Elephas maximus indicus: one gene and its partners. The protein of the gene in region 1 purifies or fractionates together with the protein of each later gene. This does not show direct contact. Links are inferred from orthologs where the notes say so. Each region holds a gene or a part of one and is shown in the gene's direction. Other genes may lie near its edges.

Region 1 (10,253 bases):
GATTTTCTTGCCCGTAGGCATGACTCTGTGGCTAAGTTCTGGCAATGAGATGCCAAGTAGGAGTGTAGCAGCTTTTTGGTCCCTTCCTTAGGAGACTGCTGGCATGATGGTCTCTCTGCTTTTGATTTTGACCCTTCCTTCTTTGTGATGACTGGAAACCAGACAGGGAGCTAGAGCAATCATGTGGGAACCAGGGAAGTGGAAACTGGGTCCTTGGGAACTTTGTGGACCAGAGCTGTTATATCAATCCTACCTCCAGATCTCTCTACAAGGACAAAATAAATTCTATCTTGGTCAAGCCACTGTCATTCTGAGGTCTTATTTTCCTTCAGACCTAGTCTTGACTGCTAAACCCTTCTTGGCCCCCTTCTGGGTTAAGTGGCCCTCTTTGACTTCAGCGGCCCCCTACACTTTGCAGTGAATGTAACCACCTGTTTGTGTGCGTCTTTCTCCTTGAGGCCAAGCACTCTTTTTATTTGGTTCTATTTTTGTATCTCCAGCACTTGGGTGATTCCCTTTAGGCATTCAGAAGAATTTTGTTGAAAGAATGAATAAAGTGATGCTTGTGGATTGAATGCGGATAACAATTGCCTCCTTTTTGTTGCTTTGAGGGTCATATGAGATAAAGTGAATGTCTAACTATAGTTTCATTTTCTTCTTTCTACATGCCCCCACTGATCCTCATGCCCAGGGTGGCCCCCTTACATCCACTACATTGTTTTCCTTCCCTCTGGGCTCAGCAGCCTTTGCTGCAAAATGACTGGACATGACCATTTGAACCCCAACATTCATTCTGAGCTCAAGTCTCACTCTTACTTCTTCAGTTCACAGGGATCTCTCCTTCCACTGGCCTCCGCTGACTTGAAGGGGAGTAGGAGCTCCTGGATATATAAAGTGGGCGAGGCTTTCCAGGTAGACGGAGCAGCACCAAGGTTCTGAGCTGTGACAAGCCATGAGCATTAAGGAATTGATGTAGTTTGGTCTGTTTGGAGGAGGTAGGTGGGCTTCCTGGCCCGAAAAGAGGCTGAGGTCTGATTGGACTTTATCTTGTGGGTGCTGAGATGCAGACATAGTCCACACTAGTGTTCAGTTTCCATGTGTTTTTCTCTTACACCTTTCCTAGTTATTAAGTGATCTCTCTTTGTTTTATCTTTACAGCCCTGAAATTGTGGTCAACAATATTGTTATTCTTTTTAACCATTGAGGGAAAAATTTTATTGATTTGTGTTTTTAGCCATAGCAATAAAATGTACTCCCAATAACATTACTGCAATATTCGTGTCAGTAAAACACCATAAATAACAAATGCAATAAGAGAATGCCTATAAAACTATGAATGCCCTTTTCTGGAAAAGTAGTATTTTTGTTTCTCTCGGGATGAGAGCCAGGTTCTTTGACAGTGATTGGTCCAAGTTCTGTAGAACTGCTGCTGTGCACATGGGGACCCGGTAGAGACTTTTTGAGCAAGAAAGTGTCAGCCATGCAATATTTATTAGGTTTACCAGGTGCCTCATACTGGGCTGGAGAGAGCCTAGGGTGACAACATTCCTGTCATTGAGAAGATCATAGTTTAGTAGGAGGGACAGGCATGTAAACAAGTAAATACAATATGGTAAGAGCTGGACAAGAATTATTTACAGTGTGAGGTGGGAGCCTGGGGTGGGGAATAAATAAGGGTGTCAAAAGAAGCAAGGCCTGAAGCTGGTTTAAAGCAACCAAGGATAATCTATTTAAGAAAGCTCATTCCAGCAGATGCGGGTGGATGGCCAAGATAGAGAAGAAATTCTGGCAGGAGACCATTCAGGAGGTTATTGCAATAGTTCAGGATGGTGAAGGGGCCTAAAACACGGCAGATGCTACGGGGACTGGAGAAGAGGAATGGAAGAAATATTTGGAGCCATAATTACCTCCAGTCAGTGAATTGTTACAAAGAGGGGAGGGATAGTAGAAGGTGTGACTTGGAGGATTAGGTGGCTGAAAAAGGTGGGGGTCCTAATAGGATGCCTGGGGGTTTAATGCACCCCTCATCATCAGTTCTCCTTCTTTCCTATGGACAGTTGACATTTTCTCAAGGTTTTGTAAATTTCTAAGCAGGACTCCTTTCCAGTGGGATTACCATGCCGAAGAGGCACATTGTTTGGAATCTGGAACCACTGTGTATGTGTGTGTGTGTGTGTGTGTGTTTGTCTGTGTGTGTAAGTGGGAGATAATGACCAGGATTATGATCTAAGGACAAAGGAAAAGTTTGGTGTTGGACGCAGAATAGCTTTAAGTTCGAAATTGTAAGATAGGTTTTCAGAAAATAAGTTTGGAATTGTGACTAAGTCTTTGTTATAGGCACTCATTCTCTCAATAAATATTTATTGAGTACTTACTATGTGTCGGATTCTCTTTTTCCCACTAGGGATAGACCAGAGAACCAGACAAAAAAGCTTCCTGTCCTCATGAAGTAGGGGAGACAGAAAATACATAAATATATAAATACATTGAAAAGACAGGAAAGAAAGAAGAGACTGAGATGGATGTCAAAGGAGACTCTGAAACTTGTTCTTGAGTGTCAAGCAGCTAAAGCAAAAGGAAGAATGGATGAAGTGAAAGAACTGAAGATTTCAAAGGGCATCTTGAGAAGACAAAATAAAGTATTATAATGACGTGTGCAAAGAGCTGGAGATGGAAAACCAAAAGGTAAGAACACGCTTGGTGTTTCTCAAGCTGAAAGAACTGAAGAAAAAATTCAAGCCTCAAGTTGCAATAGTGAAGGATTCCATGGGGAAAATATTAAATGATGCAGGAAGCATCAAAAGAAGATGGAAGGAATACCGAGTCATTATACCAAAAAGAATTAGTCGATGTTCAACCATTTCAAGAGGTGGCATATGATCAGGAACCGATGGTACTGAAGGAAGAAGTCCAAGCTGCTCTGAAGGCATTGGCGAAAAACAAGGCTCCAGGAATTGATGGAATATCAGTTGAGATGTTTCAACAAATGGATGCAGTGCTGAAGGTGCTCAGTCGTCTATGCCAAGAAATATGGAAGACAGCTTCCTGGCCAACTGACTGGAAGAGATCCATATTCATGCCTATTCCCGAGAAAGGTGATCCAACTGAATGTGGAAATTATAGAACAACATCATTAATATCACATGCAAGTAAAATTTTGCTGAAGGTCATTCAAAAACGTCTGCGGCAGTATATCGACGGGGAACTGCCAGAAGTTTAGGCCGGTTTCGGAAGAGGATGTGGAACCAGGGATATCATTGCTGATGTCAGATGGATCCTGGCTGAAAGCAGAGAATACCAGAAGGATGTTTACCTGTGTTTTATTGACTATGTAAAGGCATTGACTGTGTGGGTCATAACAAACTGTGGACAACATTGGGAAGAATGGGAATTCCAGAACGCTTAATTGTGCTCGTGAGGAACCTTTACATAGATCAAGAGGCAGTTGTTTAGACAGAACAAGGGGATACGGATTGGTTTAAAGTCAGGCAAGGTGTGCGTCAGGGTTATATTCTTCCACCATACCTATTTAATCTGTATGCTGAGCAAATAATACCAGAAGTTGGAGTATATGAAGAAGAACAGGGCATCGGGATTGGAGGAAGACTCATTAACAACCTGCCTTATGCAGATGACACAACCTTGCTTGCTCAAAGTGAAGAGGACTTGAAGCACTTACTAATGAAGATCAAGGACCACAGCCTTCAGTATGGATTGCACCTCAACATAAAGAAAACAAAAATCCTCACAACTGGACCAATGAGCAACATCATGATAGACAGAGAAAAGATTGAACTTGTCAAGGATTTCATTTTACTTGGATCCACAATCAACAGCCATGGAAGCAGCAGTCAAGAATCAAAAGACGCATTGCATTGGGTAAATCTGGTGCAAAGGACCTCTTTAAAGTGTTGAAGAGCAAAGATGTCACCCTGAAAACAAAGGTGTGCCTGACCCAAGCCATGGTATTTTCAATCACATTATATGCATGTGAAAGCTGGACAATGAGTAAGGAAGACCGAAGAAGAATTGATGCCTTTGAATTGTGGTGTTGGCGAAGAACATTGAATATACCATGGACTGCCAAAAGAATGAATAAATCTGTCTCAAAAGAAGTACAGCCAGAATGCTCCTTAGAAGCAAGGATGGCGAGACTGTGTCTTACACACTTCGGACATGTTGTCAGGAGGGATCAGTCCCTGGAGAAGGACATCATGCTTGGCAGAGTACAGGATCAGCAGAAGAGAGGAAGACCCTCAAAGAGGTGGATTGACACAGTGGGTTCAACAATGAACTCAAGCATAAGAACGACTGTAAGGATGGCTCAGGACAGGGCAGTGTTTCATTTTGTTGTGCATAGGGTCACTATGAGTCAGAACCAACTTGACGCCACCTAACAACAACAATAATACAATTATATATAATACGTCCTATAAAAAATTAGAGCAGAACAAGGGAATATAGTGACGGAAAAGGCAGGGGTGGGGGACTTCTTTGAAAAGGTGGTATTTGAGCAGAGACCTAAATTAAAGAAAGCCATAAAGACCGCTAGTTGCCCACTCATGACGGAGGAGCAAGACATACAAAGAAAACATGTTAAATTTGAGATGCCTAGAATTGACTCCACGGCAACCAGGTACTAGACATCTAAAGTAGAAATGTTGATGAGGCAGATGGATGAAAATATAAGACGAGTTTAGAGAGAGGTTTGAGGTTTGGCAATTGTCAGGGTCATCAATTCAATATTCAATTCCAGCTCCTGGTTCCAATTCAATTTCCTTTATTAGAGTTCACCACGTGCCAGGTACCGTGTCAGGAGCTGGGGACCCAAGGATGAACAAAGCCATTCTGCAGGCAGACATACACCATAAAAAAAAAAAAAATCCCGAAGTCTTGTTAAACCTCGAGCGCTCTCTGCGAACACAGAGAAAACAGCGAGTTGGGAGGGCTCGGGAAAAGATGACGGCGGAGCGGGATTCAGGCTGACCGAACAGCCAGCGGAGGCTCAGAGGCGGCGAGGTGTGACGCACCGGACGCATCACAAAGACAGGGCTGTGCGGGTGGCTGCACTCGGTCGGGACTGGGCGGACCCACCCAGAAGAAGCCGGGAGGAGGGACGGCGCCCCCACCGTGAGCACGTGGCGCCCTCTGCAGGCCGAAGGCAGCGACACACCGGTAGCCTCATCTTCTCTCTCCTCTCACTTCCCGCCTTCCTCAGGCCACATTTTTCTGTTGTCGTTCCTGAGTCTTTCCCAGCCTCCGGCTTCCATCCCTCCTCTTCTGTCCAAGGCCGGGCGTGTTACTGTCGTCACTGGAAGACTGCCAATAACGTTTTCTCTTTCCTCGCTCTCATGCTCCCCGCCTCTTCTCAAGTACCGCGAGATTTGGTGGCGCGTGTACCATGGCGGCGGCGCTTGAGGCCCCTGCGGCCTCGGCTCCCGTGGAGACGGCTTTACCGGAGGAGCGTGTGACCGCGCCTGTCCCGGCTCCGGAGCCCGCCCCCGGGCCGGCGCGCAGCCTGCGGACGGCTCACGACATCGGCGGCCCGCGGACCCGCACAGGGGACGTGCTGCTGGCTGAGCCGGCGGATTTCGAGTCGTTGCTGCTGTCGCGGCCGGTGCTGGAGGGCCTGCGGGCGGCCGGCTTCGAGCGGCCCTCCCCGGTGCAGCTCAAGGCCATCCCGCTGGGGCGCTGCGGTCTCGGTGAGGGCGGGGGCCCAGGGGAGGCCGGACGGGGCCGAGGAGGGGGGCCCGAGGGGCGGCAGCAGCTGGGCCCGCGGCGAGGACCGGGAAGGAGCACCAGGTCGGCCGCCTGGGCAGGGCTCGGCCTTGGGCTAGGTGCCGCACGCCTTCGAGCCTCAGTTTCCCCTTTTGTAAAACAAAAGGGGAGATTTTGCATTTGAAGATAGCTAGAGCCCTTTCCAGCGCTGGCTCGTGATTCTGAGCTTGAGAGGCTAAACAGTGGTAGAGGTTCAGACACACCTGGGATGGCTCTGAATATGGCCTCGTGCATTTTTGATGGTAAACTGAAAATGGCAGGTCCCAGCTAGGTTATCTGTGGAGACCCTTTCCAGTTCTCCCATTTCATGTTGGTATCTAAGCTCCTTCAGTTAGTACTTGCTGGTGACAATTTGTTGATTTTTCCTTCTCAGATTTAATTGTTCAAGCTAAGTCAGGCACTGGGAAAACCTGTGTATTCTCCACCATTGCTTTGGACTCTCTTGTTCTTGAAAACTTAAGTACCCAGGTGAGTTTAGCTCCGAGGACTCAGATGAATGATTGAGTTAAACCGTATGTAAATTATGAAAGTAAAGGAGACGTTAAGGCTGCTGAGTGGTGCTGGTGTGGATGGTTACCAAGGATACCTTATTGGTCTTTGAAGTTTGGAATATTATTACCACATCATAAACAGAGTAAGCCAACCATGAGTGTCGGTTTTGACGTGACATAAGACTACAGACAAGGATTCATTGTTCTTTTACTTGCTGACTAGATTGCAGCAAGGCGAGACTTAGCGTTTGATTTGATTCATGGTGATGTGATGCTCTGGCTATAATTGGTGGTAACGCCAGGTGGTTCTTAAAGATCTGTGAATCTATCATCTTGATCTCCCATCTTCTGGATTTTCTTAGAATAGTTCTAAGACCGCTTTACTCAAATTAACAGACAATTCAGGCTTGGCATGGAGGTGCGGTCATTTCTTCAACAAAGATTTGTTGAGCCCATAGTATGTATAAACAGTATGTCAGGCACTGGGGATACAAAGGTGCAGCAGATGGCATCCTTAGTTTGTGGCATAGCAGTTATGACAGACTTTATTTCATATTTTCAGTTATGTATATCTGAGGATGATGATCCTTTAATACGGTTGTTTTTAACCAGGGATACTCATATATACATTATCCGGGAAGCTTTTTGAGTCTTACCTTTTACCTACTGAATCCTGGTTGATGCTACTCATAGGAAATCCTTCTACTACCCAATGACCTGGGCTTTTCTACTTGTGGACTAAGGTGTATTTGCCATTTTGGCTGCTGAAAGTGAGCACTCTGGCAGCAGGTTAAGTGTCAAAACTGTGCATAATTTCCATAAATAAGATTCTTTTTTAAAATTTAAGGTCTTTGTATTATCAAAATTATATAACATAATTTTTTGCATCAAAGCTATACATGGGCATTTATGGAAAGTTGGGAAAATTTAGCAGAAATACCAGGAAACAAAATGTATAATCTCACCTACCCAGAGAGAAACTGCTGTTAACAGTTTTGGCATATTTTCTTCTAGTCCTTTTTATTTGTAAGCATTTTTTTCCTTCTCATAATTGAGAACATGTAATTTAACCTTCTCCTTTTTCAGTAGTTATATGGCAGAGTTTTCACCGTGGCTCACAAAACCTTTCATGATCTAGCCCCCTGGAGCTAGATCTCTGTCGTCCGCTCCATTTCCCCCAATTCTGTCCAGCCACATGGCCTCCTTGCCATTTTACAAACACACCAAGAACACTCTCATCTTTAGGCCTTTGCATTTGCTGCCCTGTTCCTGAAAACTCTTGCTCAGGTGTCACACAGCCAGCTCTACTCTGCTGTATATTCACATCTCTGCTCAAATGTCAGCTTCAGAGAGGGGGCTTCCTTGACTACTCCATGAAAATGACTCCATCCCTTTTGCTGTTGGATTTTTCTTCGTAGCACTTTTTATTACCTGCCATTATTTATATATGTTTATTATATACCATCTTATCATACTAGAATGAAAGTATCATGAGGTCAAGGGCTTTATACTGTTAACTGTGATCTCCTAGCAATTAGTATGTTGGATGGTACAAACAGTTTTTGCCTGGCTGCTAATCTAAAGGTTGATGGTTCAAACCCACCTAGTGGTGCCGCAGACCAGAGGCCTGGTGATCTGCTTCCATAACGATTACAGCCAAGAAAACCTTATGAAGCACTTCTACTCTAGAACACGTACGTGAGGTTACCATAAGTAGGAATTGACTTGACGGCAACGGGTTTGGCTTTTTTGCATCAGTATGTCATCTAGCACTTAGTGGGTTCTCATTTAATATTTGCTGAATGAATATGTAAATGGATGAATGGAATGTTTTCCTTTGCCAGTAAAAACTCAATCATCATTTTAAATGGTTATGTAGTAGTTTGTCATATAATTAATGTGCCAGTCATATGTATTTATTCCCTGACTTGTTAAAGGTATATTTTATGTTTTTTTTTAGATTTTGATTTTGGCTCCTACAAGAGAAATTGCTGTACAGATACATTCTGTTATCATGGCCATTGGAATCAAAATGGAAGGCTTAGAGTGTCATGTCTTTATTGGAGGCACTCCATTATCACAAGACAAAACCAGACTTAAAAAGTGTCACATTGCCGTTGGATCTCCTGGTGAGATGTCAAAGCCTGTTGATATCTGGGGCTTTTAAAGAACTGAACATTTTTAATATAACAGTAAGGATATGGGAGTCTTGATGACTGTGATCATTATTTTGGGATTACATTTGAAGAGCATTAGACCGATGAGATACAGACACATGGCTGGATTACCAATAGCATTTATGAAATCTTCCCTACAGATATTTAAGAACATAAGGGGTAGGTTTCTGAGGAGAGGAGGGATGAGGTACCCTCCAGGAGGCTCTTCTAAGCCTTGGATTCGGATTATCGTTTGACTTCTTTATTAACCATTCGATTGTGGATTACTCAGAATCTAGCATTCAGTACCTTAGCATTCAGGTCTTGGCAGGATGGTGTTACTTTTCCATGCATATTAGTGATGAAATGGGAGGAAAAATAAATGGATTGAGGCAAGATCAGAACTTAAGATTTCAAATTCGTGTGTAAATGCATTTATGAGATTTGGGTCAGGAAATTTTAGCAGTACAGCCTGAATGGATTAACAGATTTGGCTAAGATTTACGCCAGTTTGATGCATCATAAATATTTCCACGTGTGTTTTTTCTGAAATTTAGGCAGAATTAAACAACTCATAGAACTTGAGTACCTGCACCCAGCCAGTGTACGTCTTTTTATTCTTGATGAAGCAGATAAACTTTTAGAAGAAGGCAGCTTTCAGGAGCAAATAAAGTAAGAAAAATGACTATTAAAGTGGCACTCCAAAGTTACCTATCTTGAACTTTTCCATGTGGTGATTACGGTTTGAATAATTTCAGTGGTGTTTTTCTTCTATTTTCCAGTTGGATTTATTCTTCTTTGCCTGCTAGTAAGCAGATGTTGGCAGTATCAGCCACTTACCCTGAATTTTTGGCTAATGCTTTGACAAAGTACATGAGAGATCCCACTTTTGTAAGACTAAATTCCAGTGATCCGAGTCTCATAGGTGTGTACAGATTTTGGATACTTAAATTATTGATTTGTCATTCATAATATTCTGGAGCTTTCCCTTGCCCAGTTGGCTACGACTGTTTCATATTTGCTATGAGGATAATATGTATAATTTCTGTTTGTTTTAACTGAAGTCTTTTGACTTCTTTGTAGGTTTGAAGCAGTATTACAAACTTGTTACTTCATACCCTTTGGCCCATAAGATTTTTGAGGAAAAGGCTCAACATTTACAGGAACTGTTCAGCAGAATTCCATTTAATCAAGCCTTAGTCTTTTCTAATTTGCACAGTAGGTAATGTAATTTTAAAGGTCATCTGGGTAACTTGTGAACTAAAAGGTTAGGTGTGGGCTTGTAATTATTTATAAAATTATAACCCTTTCTGTTTCTTACAGAGCACAACATTTGGCTGATATCCTTTCTTCGAAAGGCTTTCCTGCTGAGTGCATTTCAGGTAAGTTCTTACCTTAACCTTGGTTTAATATCCTGACTTGAAGCCTCCAAGGTCAGGAGGAAGAAATACTGCTTTATGAGTTGTCTCATGAGTTACACTGAGATTTCAGAGTAAAGGAAATTTCAGGTTTATCTTCATTTGGATTTATTTTTGGTGGGTGGCATTGAGTCGATTCTGACGCACAGCGACCCATGTGACAGAGTATAACAGCCCCATAGGATATTGTTGGCTGTCGTCTTTATGGAAGCAGATCACCAGGCCTTTCTAACTCGGAGCCTTTGGGTGGGTTTGAACCACCAACCATTTGGTTAACCGTTGAGTACTTAACCGTTGTGCCACCAAGGCCCCTTATATATAGTTACAGATGTAACTATATTTACATAATATATATGTATTGTTTTGTTTTTAAGGAGTAATCGAGTGCATAGTAAATAATTAGAAAACTG
Region 2 (10,189 bases), on another chromosome or scaffold:
ACTACACCTCGACAATCCCAGGCACTACTAATGGGCATTTTACCTATTAGGCCTCTTAATCCTCACAACTATCCTATAAAGTGGATAAAACCCATTGCTGTTAAGTCAAATCCAACTCATAGCAATCCTATAGAACAGAGTAGAACTGCCCCATAAAGTTTCCAAGAAGCACCTGGTGGATTCAAACTGCCAGCCTTTTGGTTAGCAGCCATAGCTGTTAACCACTAGGCCCGCCAGAGTTTCTGTAAAATGGATGGTATCTTTTTTTTTTCCTCATTTTTTTGAGATATGGAAACGGAGCCTCAGAGAATTTAAGCAAATTGCTCAAGGCCACATTTGTTCCCGGCAGAGTCAGGGCTGAAATTCAATTCTATCTTCCGCTGTTGCTGTTGTCAGGTACCATCGAGTTGGTTCTGACTCCGCGACCTTATGTATAATACAACAAAATGTTGCCTGGCCCTCTGCCATCCTCACAATCGTTGTTATGCTTCAGCCACCGTGTCAATTCATCTCATTGAGGGTCTTCCTCTTTCGCTGACCTCTTCCAAGCACGATGTCCTTCTGCAGACCAGTATTTATTCAAATATATCAAACTGTCCTCATCATTTTTTCACTAAACAGCTAATTCATGACATTTCCAACATGGCTTTTCTTGTGGAGAATTTTAACCTAAGTACAAATTGGTCATTAAAACCCATTGCTGTTGAGTTGATTCTGACTCATAGTGATCTTACAGGACAGAGTAGATGCCCCACAGGGCTTCCAAGGAGCGGCTGGTGGATTCAAACTACTGACCTTTTGGTTAGCAGCCAAACGCGACTATTTTGCCACCAGGGCCCCAAATTAGTCATTAGCACCTTCAAACTTTTACCGTAGCCATTCTACTTCTAAACCACCAAAATGTACTCTCTTACTCCTAAACATACTCTCCTTACTCCTAAAATCACCTCTCCTAAAACCACTCCTCTGACAAACCCCTTCTGGGCCCATCACTCCATCCATTCCATGATTGATAAACCACTACTTAAAGACAGAAAATTTCTGTTCCGATCCTAGACCCCGCCATGTTTTAACTGTGTAACCTTCAGTAAGTCACAAACTTCTCCAATGCATCCATCGGTAAAATATGAGACTTGGCATTCAAAGGTTGAAAATTGTCGGTCTCGTACCAAATATAGCCTGCAGAAAAGTTTTATTTGGTCAGTGGCATTTTTTCTTAACCCAATTCAATGTCTTTAGGTGAGGAATGCCCCCTGACTGCCACGGGCCCTCCACTCCCTCTATTTTACACTGACTACTTTTCCTAGTTCACTCATTTATGCTGTCTGGCCCCTCTACACAATTGCATTTCCAGTCACTGAATTAGATGATCTCTAAGATTTTACATGGTCAATCAAAGATTCTGTAGAAGAATCCTGATCAAAAGGGGGAAAATGTAGAACAGAATTTCAAACTCTGATGGACTCCAGACTTTCTGGAGCCATGAAGGCTGAATAAACCCCTCAAACTACTGCCCTGAGATAATCGTTAAACCTTAAACCAAAAATATTCCCTGAAGTCTTCTTAAAACTAAACAATAGTTCAGCTTAACTAGTAAAGAATGTCTGCCTTGAGCATTATGCTCTTTTAAGAACCACCTATATGAAGTCAAACAGACAAGAGCAACTTGAAAGATAAGATAGAAACCTTTGGGGCTGTGAGTTTATGTTAATGGGAGAGAAACTCGAAAAATGAGGGTGAGAATGGTTGTACAACTCTGAGAATGTAATCAGTGTAACTGAATGGTACACATAGAAACTGTTGAATTGGTGTATGTTTTGCTGTGTATATTCTCAACAACAACAAAATAAATTTTTTTTTAAAGATTTCACATTGTTATTATGAGCATTATTTATAGTTTTCATGCTAAGTTTTCGTATGGTCATAGCCTGTCTTCCCCATTAAAAAGTCGAGAATGGGGACTCATAAAATTATATACATTGAGAACTGGAAAGAGCCTTAGAAATTATCGAGTGTCATATCTGCTAGATAATTAAACAAGAGTGTCAGATTTGCTATTGTTTAGGTGACACGGATGAAAAGATTAAAGCCAAACTGCTTAAGTTACTTGCCCAGAATTTCCTAGTAAGTCAGTGCCAAACCAAACCAAACCCCTTACTGTCAAGTTGATTCTGACTCTTCAGGACATAGCACAGTTTGGAACCCATAGGGTTTCGAAAGGCTGTAATCTTTATGGAAGCAAGCTGCCACATCTTTCTCCCCCAGAGCAACTGGTGGGTTCAAACCACCAACTTTCGGTTAGCAGTTGAGCACTTTAACCACTGCTCCACCAGGGCTCCTCAAAAGTCAGTGCAAGGCAACTTAAATCAACAAACATTAACAAAATATCTACTTTGTGCAAGATCCCGTGTTGGTCCCTACTTCTTTAGGACACACAAGCTAGTAAAGGGCATGGATACATATACATAAGGCCACTATGCATGGTACACACACTAAGTGGAAGGAGAAATCAGTATCTTTCCATTTTAATCAGATCTGAAAACACCTCCTGAATGGGAAACATCTGAACAGGGGTTTAAATAATGAGTAAAACTGCAGTTATTAACAAGAATGGAGGACACAGCATGAACAAAGCCAAGAAGCAAATGAATGCACAGCATAGTCAGAAAAAGTAAGTAAATCAGCGTGGCTGGGGGCAGAACAATAGAATATAACGTAAGAAAGCAAAGTGCAGACAAAGCCTAAGGGCCGGCACTTTCTACATCCTTCTTTAGCCCACCTCTTCATCCCCCTGACCCAAGAACCTAAGACACAGCTAAATAAGAACTCAATAATAATTTGTAGTGATAAAAACAATGATGGCAGTTGAGATTTAAGGTGGGCTTATTTACATGTCATGCATTGTGCTAAACACTTCATATGCATTATCTCATTTAAGTCTCACAAAAATTCTATGAGGTAGGTATTAATAAAGCTTAGAAATAAGTAAATTTTCCAAAATCAGTTAAAAAGTGGATTCACAACAATCTGTCTCCGAAGCCTATGAACTAAGCTACTTACTATAAAATAAATGCTAACAAATATATTGATCTGAAACTTATAATCAGATTATCTATCTCCAAATAACAAAAGATATACTGCAGAAAAGAGATAATGAAAAGGGGAAGGGAAAGAACTCTTGCCAGTCCTGACTCAATTACATTTCCTAATCTTAAAAAATGCTTTTGTCCTAAAGCCAAAGAATGCTTTGGAGAATATAGTTTAAAGCGTCACAATTTCCTATAAGTGGATGACTTTGAGCAAATTATTTCACATTTGGGGGTTTCAATTTCCTTGTTTAAAAAAATGGCAATCACCAGTACTCGTTATTACTATGAAAATCGTACGCGATAATGTCACATAAAGTCTTTAGCCTATGTCAAACACAAGATAAACTACGGCTAAAACACGGTCTTTCTCCATGTAAGCAACTAAATAGAGAAGTAACTAAAAAAGTTGAACAGTTCCACATGGAGGTGGAAAAGTCTAACCGCGTCCAGAAAGGCCAGAGGATGCTGTCCAGAAAAGACATTTGCAGTGGTCCTTGAAATAAAAAGAGAGTAATGGATAATTCTGATACCTGCAGGGCTAAGAGATACGCCCGCGGGAAAATGGGGTGACAAAGCAGGGATTCTAGCTGTCTTGTTCGACTCTGTAGCCCCAGAACCTAAGCCTGGCACATACGAGCTCAGTAATTGAATCATAGAATAGAATGGAGGCCTCGGACACTTCTGCAACGCCGAGGCGAGACACTTACCCCAAGGCGAGCTTGCCCTGGCTCCTCAGATTCTGCATCCATAACGCACCTGCAACACCAACACAATCCGTAAATTCAGACTCCCATCTCAGCTCCCTTCCTCTGCCTACTAACCACCAAAAAACCCTTACCCAACTGCTGCAGCACTGCGGCCGCCATCTTTCTCCGTCTCTCTACGGAAGCCTCCGAGTCCACACGCCGCCAGGACTAGCACATGCGCAATACTCTGGGTTTCCTCTGCGGAGATCCAGCGTACCTACAGCCGCGGTGTTGTCATGGAGACCGCGAACACGCTGCTGTTGCCTAAACGGTGTTTAGGCCAACCGTGCTTGAGAACGAATGACTTAATAAAGGCCGAAAACCAGTGAGTTTCCATAAATTCGCAGAAACCCAGAAAATTTGGGAAGCCTCACCTCACAAATGAAAGGATTAGGGAAACGGTCCATGAATAAGTCACCTAACCCGTGTGGGCCTCAGTTTTCTCGTCAGTAAAATATAGTCAGAAATAGCTATCCCTACGACACAAGCTTGTTGTAAAGATCACTAGAGATGGTATGAATGCACTTTTAAAAGAGCAAGCCATTCAAATACGAAGTATGATGTCCTTATCCCTGTGAATCTCCAAGTTGACCACCAAGAGATACCCATGAAATTTTATTGCCATCGAGTTGATTCTGACTCATAGCGACTCTGTACGACAGAGGAGAACTGCCCCGCAGGGTTTCCAAGGAGCAGTTGATGGATTTGAACTGCCGACCTTTTGGTTAGCAGCCAAGCTCTTAACCTCTGTGCCATCAAGGCTCCGACCAAGGGATGAGTTAATATTTCATCGAGCATTTATTACCATATATGCTCCTGGGAAACTCTATGGGGCAGTTCTACTCTGTCCTACAGGGTCGCTATGAGTCGGAATCAACTCGACGGCCCTGGGGTTTTTTTGTGGGTATGCTCACCAGGCACTGCACTAAATCTCGTTTATTCCGAACATCAGTTCAAGTTATGGATTATCATCTTCTCTGCTCATATGAAGAAACTGATTTAGGATGGGTTCAGGGTGGGTTAACTTCTTTCCACTAACAACTGGCAAAACCAGTGGACAATCTATGGCTGGGTGCCTACAAAGTTAGTGACCCTATTCACATCTTTGTGTATGTGTGCCCTCTCCATATTAAGGATAGATATTTTCAGCTTTCAGTTTGCTAGTATACATAAGTGCAGATTTCCAACGCAAACAAGCAAGACGAGTTTAAGTGTAAAATCTGAGCATTTTTGCATGTTTTGAGTTGGAAAGGAATTTTCACTCTTTTTTCTCCACAGTACTTAACACATAGTTCCCTTCTCAGAGTTGGCACTCAATCAAGTGAATCAAGAGTCACTCCATTCTGCTTCTCTTTAATCTTTGAAAACCAAAAACCCAGAGCCAGGATTTCCACCTAGCTGCAGAAACTGTTCCTTCCCCCCTTTTTTTATTTTTTTACTATTTCTCCTTTTATCTTTTTTTGCTAATTGGCATCTTGTATATACCAGTTGCTGCCAAGTCAATTCAAATTTATGGCGACCGTACGTGTGTCAGATCAGAATTGTGCTCCACAGGGTTTTCAGTAGCAGATTTTTCAGTAGATTCCCAGGCTTTTTTACCAATGAACCACTGGGAGGACTCTAACCTCCAATCTTTCAGTTAGTGGCCCAGAGTGTTAACCGTTTGCACCACCCAGAGTCTTCTTGGCTTCCGCAGATTTCTTTAAAGAATCTCCAGAGCTAGCAAAATGCCCCGGTACACAGCGTTCAAAGGAAACATTTGACAGGATAGCGATTAAACAGGTCCAAAGAATGAACTCACAGTGTGAGTGGATGACTCCACCAATCTAATCCCTTAATTACGTGGTTTTGCTTTGGGGAGTAAGAATGTCTAACCCCAGGGCTAGGCTCTGGCTGAGGCTGCGTGCGGGGTTAGCACGCAAAGCGCAGCAAGCGCTGCCTCGTCCTTCGCAACCCTGAGGCGCCGGGAGCAGAGCGCTCCGTGCGGCCTGGGCCTCGGCGCGCCCCGTAGTGGCAGACCTGGGGAGGCGGGGCTCGAAGCCGGCCCCGCCCCCGCCCCGCCCCCTTCCTGGCTCCGGCGTGCCCCGAACGACCTGCGCCTCTGGCTGCGCCTCTGGCTGCTCCTCTCATCTTAGGCGGCCCGCGGACATGGGGCAAGAACCGCGGACGCTGCCTCCGTCCCCCAACTGGTACTGCGCCCGCTGCAGCGACGCCGTACCCGGGGGTCTTTTCGGCTTCGCGGCGCGGACCTCGGTCTTCCTAGTCCGCGTGGGCCCGGGCGCAGGCGCAAGCCATGGGACGCCCCCGTTTCGAGGTAACTGCCCACGTCTGGGCCCAGACCTTCTTGCCCTTCCCACTGGGCTCTCTGTGGTCGCCGAGTGGGAGTATTCGGCCGCCTCTCTTTCTACAGATAGGGAAACTGAGGCTCAGGCAGGGAGAGGAGTTTGCCCACGGTCACTCATCTGAGCTGCGTCCGAGTCTCCAAGAGTGAGCTGCACCACGCTGTGGCCCGGCGGTCCCGCCCTCCTGGCGCTCACACGTGGGACCGCTTACTTACTGGGAAATTAGCACTGTCTTGACCTGAGTTTTTATAACATTTACGCCCCCCACGCCCACTCGCGGGCCCTCTGGAAGCCTTCCTGGGATTGCGGGCTGCCTGTAACTGCAGGCCGTAAAAACGATCCTGCAAATACGTGATCCTTGTTTCTGTAAAACGAATGAGTTGAGCCAGATGCACCCAGGTTCCAAACTAGGTTTTGCTGGTGCCTTGGGATATGACCTGCCACGTATTCTATTTCAGACGGTCCCTGACCAGATCTAAATAAAAATCGCTTTTACATTCTTATGTGTGCTGCTTTTCAACCTGTGAACTAGGTACAGCAATGTATTTTGAACATTTTATAGTTGAGAAGGCACACTCAGTGAGATAAAATGATTTGTTTGAAATCACATGGCAGAGCCAACACCAGAACTTGGGGTTTCTGCTTGTGAGTGAGATCCTTTTGTTACACCATGGGCTAGGAAACTCCAAAGCATCTGCTCACTCATCAGCCAACAACAGTGTGATTCTGCCTGGAATCATGGGCAGCGCTTTCATTAACCTGCAGTCTGGTTTTGCTTGAAGTCATAGGGGAGTTGGTGGGACACACCGAAAGAGTCTCTGGCTTCACGTTTTCCCATCACCCGGGTCAATACAACCTCTGTGCCACCAGCTCTGACGATGGGACTGTGAAAATCTGGGATGTAGAGACGAAAACAGTTGTGACAGAACATGCACTCCATCAGGTACTGTGGCTTAATGATTTCTCAGACTCATTTTGTATCTGTGCTGAGGGTTCTTTCGTTTCAAGCAATTTTGTTAGCTCATTTGTACAAGGCAGTTTTTATAAATATATCCGTTATTAGATCAGAAGCTCTACAGTGTAAAGTCAGGAAACCTGGTGATGCAGTTGTTAAGCACTCAGCTGCTAACAGAAAGGTTAGAGGTTCAAACCTACCAGCTCCTGCTCCAGGGGAGAAAAGGCCTGGTGATCTGCTCCTGTAAAGGTTTCAGCCTAGGAAACCCTACGGGGCAGTTCTGCTTGCTTACATGGGGTCAGTATGAGTTAGAAGTCACTGTATAACACCCAACAAGAACATAGCGTAAGGTGCCTCTAAACTTTTTTGAAAAGCAATGCATATAAGCCAGAGATTGGTAAATTACCCCCTACCTGGTCGTAGCGACCCTGCTCTGTCCTGTAGGGTCGCTGTGAGTCGGAACCAACTCTGTGGCACCTAACAACAACAACACTGTTTCAGCACATAGTTTCATTGGAACACAGCCACACCTATTTGTTTAAGTATTGTCTTTGAGTACTTTCATGCTACAACAGCAAAATTGAGTACCCCAGGAGCCCTGGTGGAGCAGTGGTTAAGAGCTCGGCTGTTAACCAAGAGATCGATAGTTCAAATCCACTAGCCCCTCCATGGAAACCCAATGGGGCAATTCTACTCTGCCCTATAGGGTCACTATAAGTCAGAATCAACTCAACGGCAATGAGTTGTTTGCAGTAGAGATAGTATGGCCCACAGAGCCTAAAATATTTATTATCTGGCCCTTTACATTATAAGATTTGCCAATCTCTGATACAAGCTGTAAGTGAGCGAGTGAAACTGGTTTCTAAACCAAATGATTACCTGACATGCCTGTCTTTTGAGCAAACAGAGGAAAGGAAAAGACTCTCTTATTAAGAACTTTACATGTAAGCTATAAAAAGAAGAAATGGTTTTTTTAGACATGATTCTTTAGTCCCAAATAGACTACATTTTCCTATCATTTGTTAATATAGGCTTGCTATTTGGAAACCCTGGTGGTGTAGTGGTTAAGTACTACAGCTGCTGACCAAAAGGTTGGCAGTTAAATCTACCAGGCATTCCTTGGAAACTCTGTGGGGCAGCTCTACTCTGTTCTATAGGGTCACTATGAGTCAGAATCGACTCCATGGCAATGGGTTTCGTTTTGGGTTTTATATAACTAATGCTAACAAGCATTCGTTAAGTACCTATAATGTGCCTAACGTTACGCCAGTGTGTGATACAGGTTAAAAATTAAGCAAAAATTTAGCATTGGCAAATGAAAAACCAAACATTTTTTGTTTTATAGCATACAATATCAGCATTGCATTGGTCTCCTCGAGTAAAGGACTTGATAGTATCTGGGGATGAAAAAGGGGTCATTTTCTGTTACTGGCTTAACAGAAATGACAGCCAGCACCTCTTTACTGAACCCAGGACAATTTTCTGTCTTACTTGTTCACCTCATCATGAAGATTTAGTAGCCATTGGGTGAGTACTGTACCACCTGTATTGATAATTTATTTTTGTTCATGGTAATATGTTACATTTACTTTACCTTCTCCCATTTCTCCTCATTCAGGGAGATAATTTACAAGGAGATGATTTAGCTGCTCCCGTGAGCCCTTGGCATCATTTCTTCCTGTGATCTCCAGGTCCTTACTGTCTCTTCCACTCCCTCTCTTTGTTTCTGTTCCCTTGGTTTACATGATACTGTACTTTGCTCATTCTTCATATCTGACCCTCTGTCAGCCTCTATTTGTAGGAAATGTCCTCTTTGACCTTTTTCCTTCCTCTGTACTTGCCCTTGGATATAACGTTTACTCCCAAAGTGTCAGATAACTCGATCTGTCTCTCTAGTTCTGAATTCTCCTTCTAGCTTGGATAAGTGACTAGCATTGGGACCTGTCTCCCCGTTGGTCACCCGGTTTGTTTCATGTAGTAGGCAGGGGTCAGAGGTCGAGAAGCTTGCATCAGGCTGAGCCTTGAAAGAACAGCAATTCCTTTCCTTCCCCATTCCACATACTTCTCTCCCAAAGATGTCCATTCACTCAACTTTGAAGACTTGACATGAACAATTTCACTAGCCTTTTGGTACAAAAAGTCTGATCGGAGTGAGTTTAAAACACTGGGGGTAAGGTAGTAGAGATAAACATGGAGATAACTTTTCACAAAGTTTGCGGAGAAAATGTGCATAGACATAAAGCCAGAGGAAGTATATGGGGTATTAGATGGAAGATACCAAGGGCATGTCTTCATGCTGATGGAAGTGAGGCAAAAGAGAGAGAGCTTGTTGCAGAAGTAAGAGGTGGTAAATGCCAAGAGGGAAACTGTTAGGAAGTTACAAGGATTGAACCCAAGTCCCAAGTACAAAGAACAGCTGAGAATGTGGATCAGGTGCAAGTAGGTTTTTAGATTTGGTAGGAAGCCTTGAGAGTTTGTTCCACTGTGATGGCTTCTGATGTTCTCAGCAAGGCATAAGTCAGTGATGAAGCCAGTCAGGTTATGGGTGGGAAGAAGATATGAAAACAGTTTTCTCAGAGAATGAGAATGTGAACTTATTAGGGAAAATCGTAGGTCCTGTGGTCACTGTTGAGTACCAAGCTTAAAGATCAGGGTCATAAACTGAAACTGCTCAAGCTGGTTGAAAAAGAACGTGGTTTAATTCAACCAGGTTCGGGGTTTTATGGGGTATAATACCCCCAGGGGAGAGGAGACAAGGGACCTAAGGGTGTTTTCAAAGGAGCAATTATAATGATGGATCCTGGGATCTGTGCTGCATCAGAGGAAGGATGGGAGGACAGATGAGGGTGGGCAGTAGTGAAAATGTCAAGAGTGGTAGATCTGAGGTCTCCATGAAGTGGAAGGATTGGTACAGTAGGGATATTAGAGAGAGTGAGCAGAAAGGGTAGTAGGCAGGGATCAGAGGATGAGAAGCTTGAAATCAGGCTGAGCCTTAAAAGAGCAGCAGTTCATAAGAAGAGAAGGAACTTCAAGGCAGAGGGAACCTTGGAGACTTGA
Region 3 (11,184 bases), on another chromosome or scaffold:
ACCCAGTCCAAAGCCCGGCGCCAAGGTTTTCTGATTGGGACGCTGGCTCCAGGCTCTGAAAACAGTCGTTGCTTCCCCGTGGTTGCTTGTTCTCAGTCTCTGTCACTCAGGTCAACTCTTTAGATCTGTGTTTGATGGTCAGGGTTCGTAGATTGTCGTGTATGTGATCGATTCACTTGTTTTTCTGAGTCTTTGTTGCAAGAGGGATCCAAGGTAGCTTCTACCTAGTCAGCCATCTTGGCCCCGCCTCCCTTGTTAACTCTTCAAACATTAAATGTAAGCACTCCTCTTCAAAAGAAGTGAGATCATTTTCCCTGGGAAAAAATAAGCTTAAGGTCAAAAAATTAATTTTTTATTGAGGGTTCTTTTTTTTTTTAAGTATTGTTATGGATTGAATTGTGTCCCCCCAAAATGTCTCCCGGTATTGCGTGGTTGTCCTCCATTTTGTGTTCTGATATGATTATCCTATGTGTTGTAAATCCTAATCTCTACGATGTTAATGGGAGCCCTAGCAGTGAAGTGGTTAAGAGCTATGGCTGCTAACCAAAAGGTTAGTTTGGATCCACCAGCTGCTCCTTGGAAAGCCTATGGGGCAGTTCTACTCTGTCCTGTAGGGTTGCTCTAAGTCGGAACTGACTCCACAACACCTAACAATGACAACAACAACATGATTTTTATAAGGCAGGATTAGAGAAGGTTATGTTAATGTGGGAGGACTCAATCTACAAGATTATGTTGTATCTTAAGTTAATATCTTTTGAGATATAAAAGGAACAATCAAGCAGAGAGAGAGGGACCTCATGCCACCAAGAAAGAAGTGCTGGGAGTGGAACATGTCCTTTATGGGGTCCCTGTGCGGAGAAGCTCCTCAACTGGGGGAAGATTGATGATACAGAACTGACACAGAGAGAAAGCATTCCCGGGGAGCTGGCGCCCTGAATTCAGACTTCCACCTTCCTAGACTGTGAGAGAATAAATTTCTCTTTGTTGAAGCCATCCACTGTGGTATTTCTGTTATAGCAGTACTAGATAACCAAGACAAGTATTCTGAGTTTATTTTAAGGGATTTATTTTTTTTTTTAATGGAGGCACCCTGGTGGCGCAGTGATTAAGAGATCTGGCTGCTAACCAAATGGTCAGCGGTTTGAACCTATCAGCTACTCCTTGGAAGAAAGATGCGGCAGTCTCCTTCTATAAAGATTACAGCCCTGGAACCCTCATGAGGCAATTCTACTCTGCCTATAGGGTTGCTATGAGTCAGAATTAAACTCAATGGCAGTTGGTTCTGGATCACTGAAAATGATATACACGTTTTATTTCTAATAATTATTTGATTTTCTCAGTCTCTTAGAATAAAATAGCTTAGTTCAATTTTCATTTTGGACTATTAATTTCTCTCCTCCAAAAGAGTGGTAGTGTTCTCCAGTAAGGAGGATTACAACATTCACCAGGCATTAAAGAAAAAAAGTACTGAATCCATCTGAAACTTAATAAGACTTAAAACAATGTGTTAATTATTCCTTGAGAAAATTTAGAAATGTATTAATTTAAATGAACTATGATGGAATAAGCATTCAAATCTAATATAACTCCTGAATAGAATATAAAGAAAATAGTTTGGAAAGTACTGAAATGTTCTTGTGGAGGGACAACAGGTTATTTTTTATTTATTCTAAATCTTAGAGCACATTTCTCAGGCATATTGCATCAAATACCACTCACCAGACAGATTTGAAGTAAATATCCAAAGACAGAGGATATTAACTATAGTTTAAAGTACTCAAGATTTAACAGAAAGTTAAGTTCCCATAGCCCAACTCTACTGCCACCCAAATATTAATATCTTCAGAGGTATTTATCCTGATATTGACAGAGGTTTTTCAGAACCCATTCAAAATTTACAGAACTGGTTATTTTCTTGATGCCTGCAAGGCTCATGAATGGGATACTTCTTAGCCACATGCCCTTAAGGTTTAGGAAGGAAGACACATCCATCCATTCATTTGTTCATGTGATTCACACATGCTATACTTCTTAGCACATGTGCTTAAAGTACGGAAAGAGAGGAATGGTATAGCTATATTCATTCAGAAGGAGCCCTGGTGGTGCAGCATTTAAGTGCTTGGTTGCTGTCATGGATTGAATTGAGTCCCCCAAAATATGTATGAGGTTGGTTAGGCCATGATTTCCAGTATGGAGTAGTTGGCCCACATTTTGTAATTTTCCTAAGTGTTATAAATCATAAGCTTTGCCTGTGGTTAAAGAGGATTAGGATGGAATGTAACACCCTTGCTCAGGTCACATCCCTGATCCAATGTAAAGGGAGTTTCCCTGGGGTGTGGCCTGTACCACCTTTTATCTTAGATAAAAGGAAAGGGAAGAAAGCAGAGAGTTGGGGGACCACATACCACCAGGAGGGCAGGGCTGGGAGCATAGTGTGTCCTTTGGACCTGGGATTCCTGCTTGGAGAAGCTCCTAGGCCAGGGGGAGATTGATGGAAATGACCTTCCTCCAGAGCCAACAGAGAAAGAAGGCCTTCCCCTGGAGCTGACACCCTGAGTTTGGACTTCTAGCCCACTGGAGTGTGAGAGAATGGGCTTCGGTTTGTTGAAGACATCCATTTGTGGTATTTCTGTTGTGGCAGCACTAGATAACTAAGACAGCTGCAAAAAGAGAGTTTGCTGGTTCGAACCTACCGGTCACTCCTCCACATGAGAAAGATGTGGCAGCCTGCTTCCATGAAGATTACGGCCTTAGAAACCCTATAGGGCAGTTCTATTCCATCCTGAAGGGTCGCTATGAGTCAGGTATATTCATTCATATGGTTAGTTCATTCATGTCAAAAGATCATTGCTGTCATGGAGGTCACATATTTCTTGTGGAAGGCAGAAAGTAGTAATTGAATAAATAACGAAGTAACTATTAAGTAATGTAAAGCGTTATACAAATAAAACAGGCTCATGTGATAAGAGACTGGCAGGCTACCTTTGAATGTGCTTGAGGAGGTGACATTTGAAATGAGGTCTAAAAAACAAGAAGGAACCAGTCCTATCTGGAGAAGTAACATTTCCTACAGGAGGAACAACAAAAGCAAAGACCCCAAAGCAGGAACAAACTTGGTGCAAAGAACTGAGTAAGGCCAGTGTGGCAGGAGTATATCAAGCTTCAAAAAGAGAGGTAGGAAATGATGTTTATTGGCTGTTTGTATTTCTGTCATTTGTTCAGCACCCGCCTGTTCAACCCCTTGGACTATTTCTCTATTGACTGGTTTGGGTATTTAAAAAAAAAAAAAGTGAAAGTCTAACCTAGTCTGAGAGGGGGAAGGTACAGAGAAGACTTTTCCTGAAAACAAGCAAACAAAACGTTGTTGAGTCAATTCCGACTCACAGTGGCCCACAGGACACAGCAGAACTGCTCCATAGGGTTTCCAAGGAGTGGCTGGTGGATATGAACTGCTGACCTTTCGGTTAGCAGCCCGAGCTCTTAACCACTGTGCCACCAGGGTTCCAACTTTTCTGAGAAAGTGACATTTAAAGGAGACAATGAGACATAATCAATCAAGTGAAGAATAAGGGATCCAGACAAGATCACCTTGTGTTGGGAAAATATTGGGCAAGTTCGAGGGACAGAAAGATGGGAAAAATAGGCAAAGGTGAGTGACAGAAGACAATGATGAATATTATCAGGACCTTACAGCCAGTATTTTGGACTTTATCCTTAGGGCAATTGAGAGCAAGAGATGACAGGATTAAATTTATTTTTTAAAAAGATAGCTCCAGCTGCTGCTTAGAGAATGAATTGAACAGGAATGACAGCAGACCCAGAAAACCAGTTAGGAGGTTATTATGTAATTTAGGACAAAGATAATGGATGGTTTGTATAAATTGGTGACGGTGAAGAATTTGGTACACTGGATTAATTAAATGTGCTTTACCAGTTGCCACTGAGTCTACACTAACTCATGGCGACCGCATGTGTGTCAGAGTAGAACTGTGCTCCATAGCGTTTTCAGTGGCTGATTTCTTGGAAGTAGATTGCCAGGCATTTCCTCTGAGGTGCCTCTGGGTGGACTTGAACCTTCAACCTTTCAGTTAGCATCCATGCATGTTAACTCTTTGTACCACCCAAAATTCCAAATGTGGTTAAAAAAAAAATGATCCAACTTAATTTTTTTTTAATTACTAGCCCATTGTCATATTAGCATATATCCCTGACTTAAAATTCCACACTTCGCATTTACTAAATTTCTAGATGAACTTTTGTCTGTTTATAGTCTCCACACTCACTGACCTGTGCATTTACTCCTGAGCCACTCCCATGTCTTATTATTATATATTGGTATTATTTAGCTATACATGTTTCTGTCCAAAAAGACTAATCGCCACAGAAAATTCCTTGCTACTTTTGTGACCCTAACACCTTGCAATATGTTTTCTCCTTTTCAAAATGGGCGATTGAGAGCCTGACGTAACTAACACGATGATATTCTAAGTAACCTATAAGTTTTTTTTTTTTTTACTGCACCAGCTGCCCTGGTCTCTTTCCAAAGCAATGCAAGGCTTTCTCAGCTCTTGCAGCCTTAGTCTCCCTCCTCTTCTTTGTCCTCTTGGGAGATGGCCTTCAGCCTGCAAGACTGCAGCTAGGAAGGCTGCCTGGTACTTTTGGTCTGCAACTTTCTTTCTTGCTCCTTATCTTGGTCAGCCTAAACTTGGCAGGCCAGTTCCACTAGTGGAGAGATTTTTTTATGTTTTTTTTTTTTTGCCTGTTACAAACATACAGATTAGAGTCCAGATGTCCCACATACATATCTTAATAAAGAGTTTCTTGTAGTTGTGATGTATACTCAACCAACCATCTGTGGGCTACGTGCTTGAGAACATTATGTAATCCTTACAAAAACTGTATTTAAGCTCTGATGTAAAAACTGCTTTTTGGGACTCCATAAAGGCAGCCTGCATTGCTGCCGGACTCCCCACTGATGTCACCTCCTAATAATCTTTCTTTTTCTGACCTGGAGAACCCTTCACTGGTTTGATTGCTCCCAGGCATGGACCCCAATCAGGTAACACTTTCGTAAATTTATTCTTTCTGAATAACTTTGTATCATTTAATTAAAAGAAAAAAAAATTATCTTCTGTTAATGGAGGAATAGCTCCTAACAGACTACCTCCTGCAGGAAACAATTATAAACTCAGGACAAAGTATAAAAACAATACTTGAAGGCACTGAACAGCAACTAAAAGCAGGCAGACCCTAAAGCAGAACGTACCTTTGGAAGAAGAAAAGGGCGCTGGGTAATTTTCACATTTTTATGACTTTTGGCCTGCGGTCAGGCCTCAGTACATTGCCAAACATAATGGTTGAAAGTCAGAAAACCTTCACTATTATTGGTTTAATGAATCAGAGGACTGAGTTCAAGGGGATCACAGAAGTTAGGTAGAGAAGAGGCAAATCCTGGAAAAGAGATTTTCAGAGGAAGGGTGCTCAAAATACTGTGTATAAACGCTGCCCAACTTTCGGATTACCCCTGCATGCATGGTGCAGACATCAAACAGCCAGCTAAGGCTAAAAGGCTTTATAAAAGATTTCTGCTGCTGCCCACTGCTGAAATGACAGAGTTTGGAGTTTCTTGCTAAAAAAATATACAGTGAGATAAATACTTTTAATAGGATCATAACCGAATCAAGAGTCTCAACATACAATTCACAATGCCCAGCTGGGCACCCATATTCTCAGAAAGATAAGGAGACCCTGAGTGGGCCAAAAAGAGACTCAGGCATAGCTGGCTAGTTTCATTTGCCTTTTTTAACTGAGTTATATCTTTTCCTCCACACTCTTAAGAGGTAAAATATATAGCATTATTGTCTTAATCAGGGTTCCCTTTTTCCATTTTCATTGACTCTTTGGAGTCTATTCTCTTACTGCTTCAGATATGTATAATGATTTTTTTTTTCTTTTAACTTCTGTTACTTTTCTTAACTCTGCCGACTGAGTTTGCATCTCCATTTTTTTCACATCATGTTTTTTGGTCTCTTGCTCTAAAGAGTTCATGTTCTGTTAAATTTTTTAAGAGTGTAGAGAAATTTTTACCTAAACATTTTATGTTTTTTTCCAGCAATTTTCTGTCATACATTTGTTTCCCTTCTTCTACTTAAAAATAACAAAATTTTCTATGCAAAGATCCTGTACCACTTTTAAATTATGGCCACTCTATTAGTCTGTCATTTGTGCAAGAACAGTGTAAGTATATTCTCTTCGATTCTTCTCCCTATTTTATTGCGCATTATTTTGGTTATATCCTTAGATACACAAAAGAATATACGTTTGTATCTAAGACATTGAGAATGGTTTTCCCTTCCTCTACTGACAATTTTCCAAAAACTGCTCATTTTGTTTTTGTTGTTACCGCTGCTGAACAGTGATCCCCAAAGTGAGCTGCCTGCAGGAAGACAATACCAGCCTTTTTTTATATTTAGTTTTTAGATTCTTTTATTAACTTCTATTTTCGTCTATTATAATGTATACTTAAGAAATTTATAAATTATTATATACGTATTTACAGGGCTCATGGTATTTCATCAAGCAAGTTTGGGGACTACTGCTCTACAGTCCAAGTCCAAATTTGAATTCAACTGTATTTAAAGCCACATAACATTCCTATCTAAAACACTAGCAATACAAGAAAGTCACACTGCAGAAGGCATCGCTGAGGAAATTACTTTTTTAAAGAGGCTTACTTGTAGACAACGCTTTGAGAAGCTTTCCACGTAGTTTTAAATAAGAAAAATTAAAAAAAAAAAGACGGTATTTGCTGGTTTTGCCTATTATTGGGAACAGCTCCGATCTGTCCAGTTGTTTGGATGCAAAAGCACAGTCCCACTGGTTGGATTAGTCGGTGCGTAATCCACAGCTGCCTCCGGGTCCCAGGTCTGCGGGCAGGGAGAACAGTTCGGAGACCCAACGAATTCTCGTTGGGACAGCAACGCAATTCCTAGCAAAGGCGCTCTAGGCAAGTCCGGACCGGGCGCTAGAGACACTGGCTGGGAGACCTCCGCGGGTCGGCATCACGTGCTCAGCGTACACTGAACCCTTGCCTTCCTTAGGCCTCTTCCACCTCGCGTACCCGCTTTCTTGCTGGGCCGTCACTTCCGGCGGACGCTTTGCGCCATTCCTGTCGTCACTTCCTGCTGCTACCGGTGTGGACGGTGCGGGTCGTGGCCGGCGGATACTCCGGTTCCCCCCCTCCCCTTTTTTCCTCCCTCCCTCCCTGTCCCTCCCTCGGGAACAGTCGCTCGCCGGTTGCGTTCTCCATGCCGCCTCCCTAATCCCCGCCTGACTTCGGTACAACCGGTTTGGCCTTCTTTTCCTGTTTCCCGGCCCAGTCTCAGTGCCAGGCCGGGGGCCTTGAGGAGCCAGAGGCGCCGCAGCTGAGGAGAGAAAAGACGAGACCCTCGGCTGACCAGCCCAACCGCTCAGCGCGCCGCCGCCATGGCATTGAGGCAGACACCGCTCACCTGCTCGGGCCACACGCGACCGGTGGTTGATTTGGCCTTCAGCGGCATCACGCCTTATGGCTATTTCTTAATCAGCGCTTGCAAAGGTGAGCAAGGCCGCTGATTTCGGGTACTCGACGGCCAGAACTGGGCGGTTACCCCCCAGTGCCGAAAGGGTCGCGGGGAGCACAGCCTTTGAGGTGAGGGCTAAGCCTGGACTGATGGGGAAACCGAAACACCCATTTCTGACGCCTCTTTTTGGGCTAAATATTGCTCCCGACTAAGGTCTCTCATTTTATTTTATTTTATTTGCTGTTTCTGGAGAAGCTAGACTGTACACTTGCCTAGTCGCCCCTGGAGCAAGCACTGTAAATATTTTTAGAAGTTTTGGGGAGAGGAGAAACTAGGCCAGGCTGTTCGTTACTAGGCCAAGTCGAGCAATACCTTATATTTATATTTCTCAAAGGTTTTCGCTCCAGTTATCTCATTGGATATTCCTGTATGGTATTAGCCCCATTTTTGAGATAGGAAACTGAGATTTAGGTTAAGAAGTTTGTCCAGAATATATAATAAAATTTAGATTGTTTTGACGCAGATCTGTATTCTTCCCACAGAATTACAGTTGCTTCCCAGAGAGAACTACCAGCTCTCCTCTTCAGTTAATTTATTTCTAGACATTCCTTAGTGACTCCAGTGAGTGGGTTTTCCATGTTGCTATTCAACGTCGTTATTATGTTTTGACTATTAGATTCTAAGTAACTTCAACTTGTAAATCACATGTCTTTTAAAATGTCTTCTAGATGGTAAACCTATGCTACGCCAGGGAGATACAGGAGACTGGATTGGAACATTTTTGGGTCATAAGGGTGCTGTTTGGGGTGCAACATTGAATAAGGATGCCACCAAAGCAGCTACAGCAGCTGCAGATTTCACAGCGTAAGTGTAGCCAAAGTAACAGTCTTTGGACTTCTCTGTGGATTGTGTTCTGAAATAATCAAAAAGTTCATCCTCGTTTGTTTAGCAAATTCCGACTTAGTGCCTGTCATATTGAACGTATAATGTTGTGGATCACACCAAAATTCCATCCTTGAGTCTTTTTTTCTTTACATTAATGATTCTCAACATTTTTAGAGGCTTAAGTGTCTTATTTTATGTCTGGATTGGGACTCAGAAATTTGCGTTATTAAGAAGCACTCCAGATAATGAATATTGGTGGTCTTGGTTTAGAAATGCTGCTCCACATGTGCTCCTTGAGTATCATCTGCTCCTATGTCTTCTACATGCTGGTGACCCCAGGTTTTTAGCCCTGCTTTTACTCTCAGCCTCAGTTTTTCTATGCTTTTGGACGTTTTTGAAACTCATTATGTTCCAAACAGAACTTCTTTTATTTCCTAGGTTTTTTAAGGTTGAGATCTAAATAATTCTTGATTCTCCCTTAACATCCACGTCCTGGTTATCATCTTCTTTGTTGATTCTGCCTGGAGAGTGTCTCCAGACTACAGTGTTTCTCCATGCTTCTGCCAGTCCCTTTAGTTCAGGGCCATTTTTAACTCCCACTAGCCTCTCTCTCCTAGCTCATGTTCCATACTCCTGCCAGTTGTCTTCCTAAAAACAAATGTTACGTCACTTCTCTACCTAATGAGCTCTTCTGTCTTTCCATTTGTCTACTTCAGTGGTTCATGACTTTGGCTATACATTAGAATAACCTGGGGAGTTTTAAAAATAATCAAATATGCCTGGGTTCCAGAAATCCTGACTTAATTGGCATGGGTGAACCAATTGTCTTTGTTTAGATCACTTACAGAACATTGTGGACTAAATAGAATCACATGTTTGAAGACATCTGTGGCTGGGTATTCAGAGTTGTTCTGTGTTGTCTATCAGAATGTCTCAGTGTCTCTGTTATAAGAGGTATTAAGAGCATGGACTCTGGAGCCAGATTGACTCGATTTGAATGCAGTTGTTATTGGTTTATAGCTCTGTAACCTTGGGTACTTTATTTAATCTCTTTTTCAATTTTATCATGTGTAAAAAACAAGAATAATAGTACTTAGTTCTCAGTTTAGCTATGAATATTAAAGGAGTTACTATGTATAAAATACTTAGCACATTGCCTGAAATGTAATAATAGCTACTCTGTAAGTGTTGCATATGTAAGGTAACAGTGACAGCTACCACCACCACTGTTAATTACCACCCCCACAAGACCAAAATTGTATACTACAGTGTATGGCTGGTTTCATGCAAGGAAGTTTAAGATTTAGGTGTCAAGAATTTTTTTTTTTTTTCCAGTGAAGGCTTTTAGATGTGATATAGTGGGAAGAGCCCTGGTGGTGCGGTGGTTAAAGCGCTGAGCTGCAAAACAAAAGGTCGGTGGTTTGAACCCACCAGCTGCTCTGAGGCAGAAAGATGTGGCAATCTGCTTCTATAAATTTACAGCCTTGGAAAAACCCTACAGGGCAGTTCTACTCTGTCCTGCAGGGTCGCTGTGAGTTGGAATCCATTCGCTATGAGTCAGAGTAAGTACACCGATGGGTACATTGTCCCAGAAACACCATCCTCTTTATCTCTTTTAATTTATAAAGTTGTAATTATTTTGCATCATCTCTCTCTGCATCTCCAATTTTCCTCCTATCAAAATTATCTGGGGAGTGTGCCTATGCTGTGGTCCAGATAGTGGTTAAGTAGATCTGGGGTAGGGCCCAGGAGCCTACATGTAATACAAATTTTTTATCACTTTTTCTTTCTTTTAAAAGCCGATAGAAAGACCTAACTTTTCTCTTAATAAGATTATTGATAAATCAGAAATGATATTATACTCTTCTTAATGACTAACCAACTTGCTAGGATGGTTAGGCAAGCTCCCCACCCCCAGAAATACAATAATTTGTTTTGTCAGTACTTTAAATGGTTAAGCTAAGCAGTTATTTTTTTGAAACTTGTGGTGAGTCCATTCTTACCACTGCCATCGAGTTGATTCCAATACATAGCGACCCTATAGGACAGAGTGGAACTGCCCCATAGGGTTTCTAAGGCTGTAAATCTTTACAGAAGCAGACTGCCACGTATTTCTCCCACGGAGCGGCTTAGGTTCGAACCACCAACCTTTTGGTTGGCAGCCAAGAGCTTTAACCATTTTGTCACCATTCTTAGGAGATGAAAAGTGTTGAAAGGACAATGTTCATATTACGTTTAAGAAACTGGGAATATAAGAGGCATCAGTAGTTTATGAAGATGCCAAGTACTTTGAGTTGTGCAGAAAATGAATGCTGTAGGATTAGCTGATAAAAAGATATTGATGCCTCACTGTCTTGCTTTGAGCCCTGAGCTAGTTAATGTCAGTCACCTGCCTGTTGATTGAATAATATATTAGAAAACTTGTAGATTATTCCAAATTTAAGCTCTTTTTAGTATTCTTTTTGTGGATTGTGGGTTTTATTGTGAATAATGAAAATATGCCAGAATTAGTCCATGTGATTAGAATATGTTCTCTCAGACAATGTCATGCTACAAAGTTGAGTTGGGAATGGGAGAGAGCAGAACAGGTTTCCTGTGCAAGGAAGAAATGAAAGCTTGGGAGTTTAATAGCAGTGCTACTCATGGTTGACATTATTTCCCTCAAAGCATATTTATTCAGCTTCTCATGACACAAGTGTATAATATGTAAGGTTTGTTGTCAGTAATATGAGCG

What was found.
Region 2: the proteins of DDX20 (region 1) and GEMIN5 purify together in Homo sapiens (affinity purification with western blotting; 6 studies listed by BioGRID and IntAct, counting the BioPlex papers as one, with this or other methods). This does not show direct contact. The link is inferred for Elephas maximus indicus from reciprocal best matches to the Homo sapiens genes DDX20 and GEMIN5.
Region 3: the proteins of DDX20 (region 1) and STRAP purify together in Homo sapiens (affinity purification with mass spectrometry; 3 studies listed by BioGRID and IntAct, counting the BioPlex papers as one, with this or other methods). This does not show direct contact. The link is inferred for Elephas maximus indicus from reciprocal best matches to the Homo sapiens genes DDX20 and STRAP.

What each region holds. Positions count from the first base shown.
Region 1 is NC_064821.1:169,128,633-169,138,885, reverse strand, and holds the start of DDX20 (probable ATP-dependent RNA helicase DDX20), read left to right. Parts: upstream 1-5,222; 5' UTR 5,223-5,401; coding exon 5,402-5,702; intron 5,703-6,151; coding exon 6,152-6,246; intron 6,247-8,229; coding exon 8,230-8,398; intron 8,399-8,982; coding exon 8,983-9,097; intron 9,098-9,207; coding exon 9,208-9,350; intron 9,351-9,508; coding exon 9,509-9,647; intron 9,648-9,748; coding exon 9,749-9,807; intron 9,808-10,253.
Region 2 is NC_064820.1:171,079,452-171,089,640, reverse strand, and holds the start of GEMIN5 (gem-associated protein 5), read left to right. Parts: upstream 1-5,904; 5' UTR 5,905-5,983; coding exon 5,984-6,149; intron 6,150-6,959; coding exon 6,960-7,120; intron 7,121-8,477; coding exon 8,478-8,659; intron 8,660-10,189. Other genes in the region: MRPL22 (39S ribosomal protein L22, mitochondrial), read right to left, coding at 3,797-3,845, 3,928-3,955. UniProt on the Homo sapiens protein: The SMN complex catalyzes the assembly of small nuclear ribonucleoproteins (snRNPs), the building blocks of the spliceosome, and thereby plays an important role in the splicing of cellular pre-mRNAs.
Region 3 is NC_064822.1:74,615,202-74,626,385, forward strand, and holds the start of STRAP (serine-threonine kinase receptor-associated protein), read left to right. Parts: upstream 1-7,185; 5' UTR 7,186-7,488; coding exon 7,489-7,600; intron 7,601-8,293; coding exon 8,294-8,429; intron 8,430-11,184. UniProt on the Homo sapiens protein: The SMN complex catalyzes the assembly of small nuclear ribonucleoproteins (snRNPs), the building blocks of the spliceosome, and thereby plays an important role in the splicing of cellular pre-mRNAs.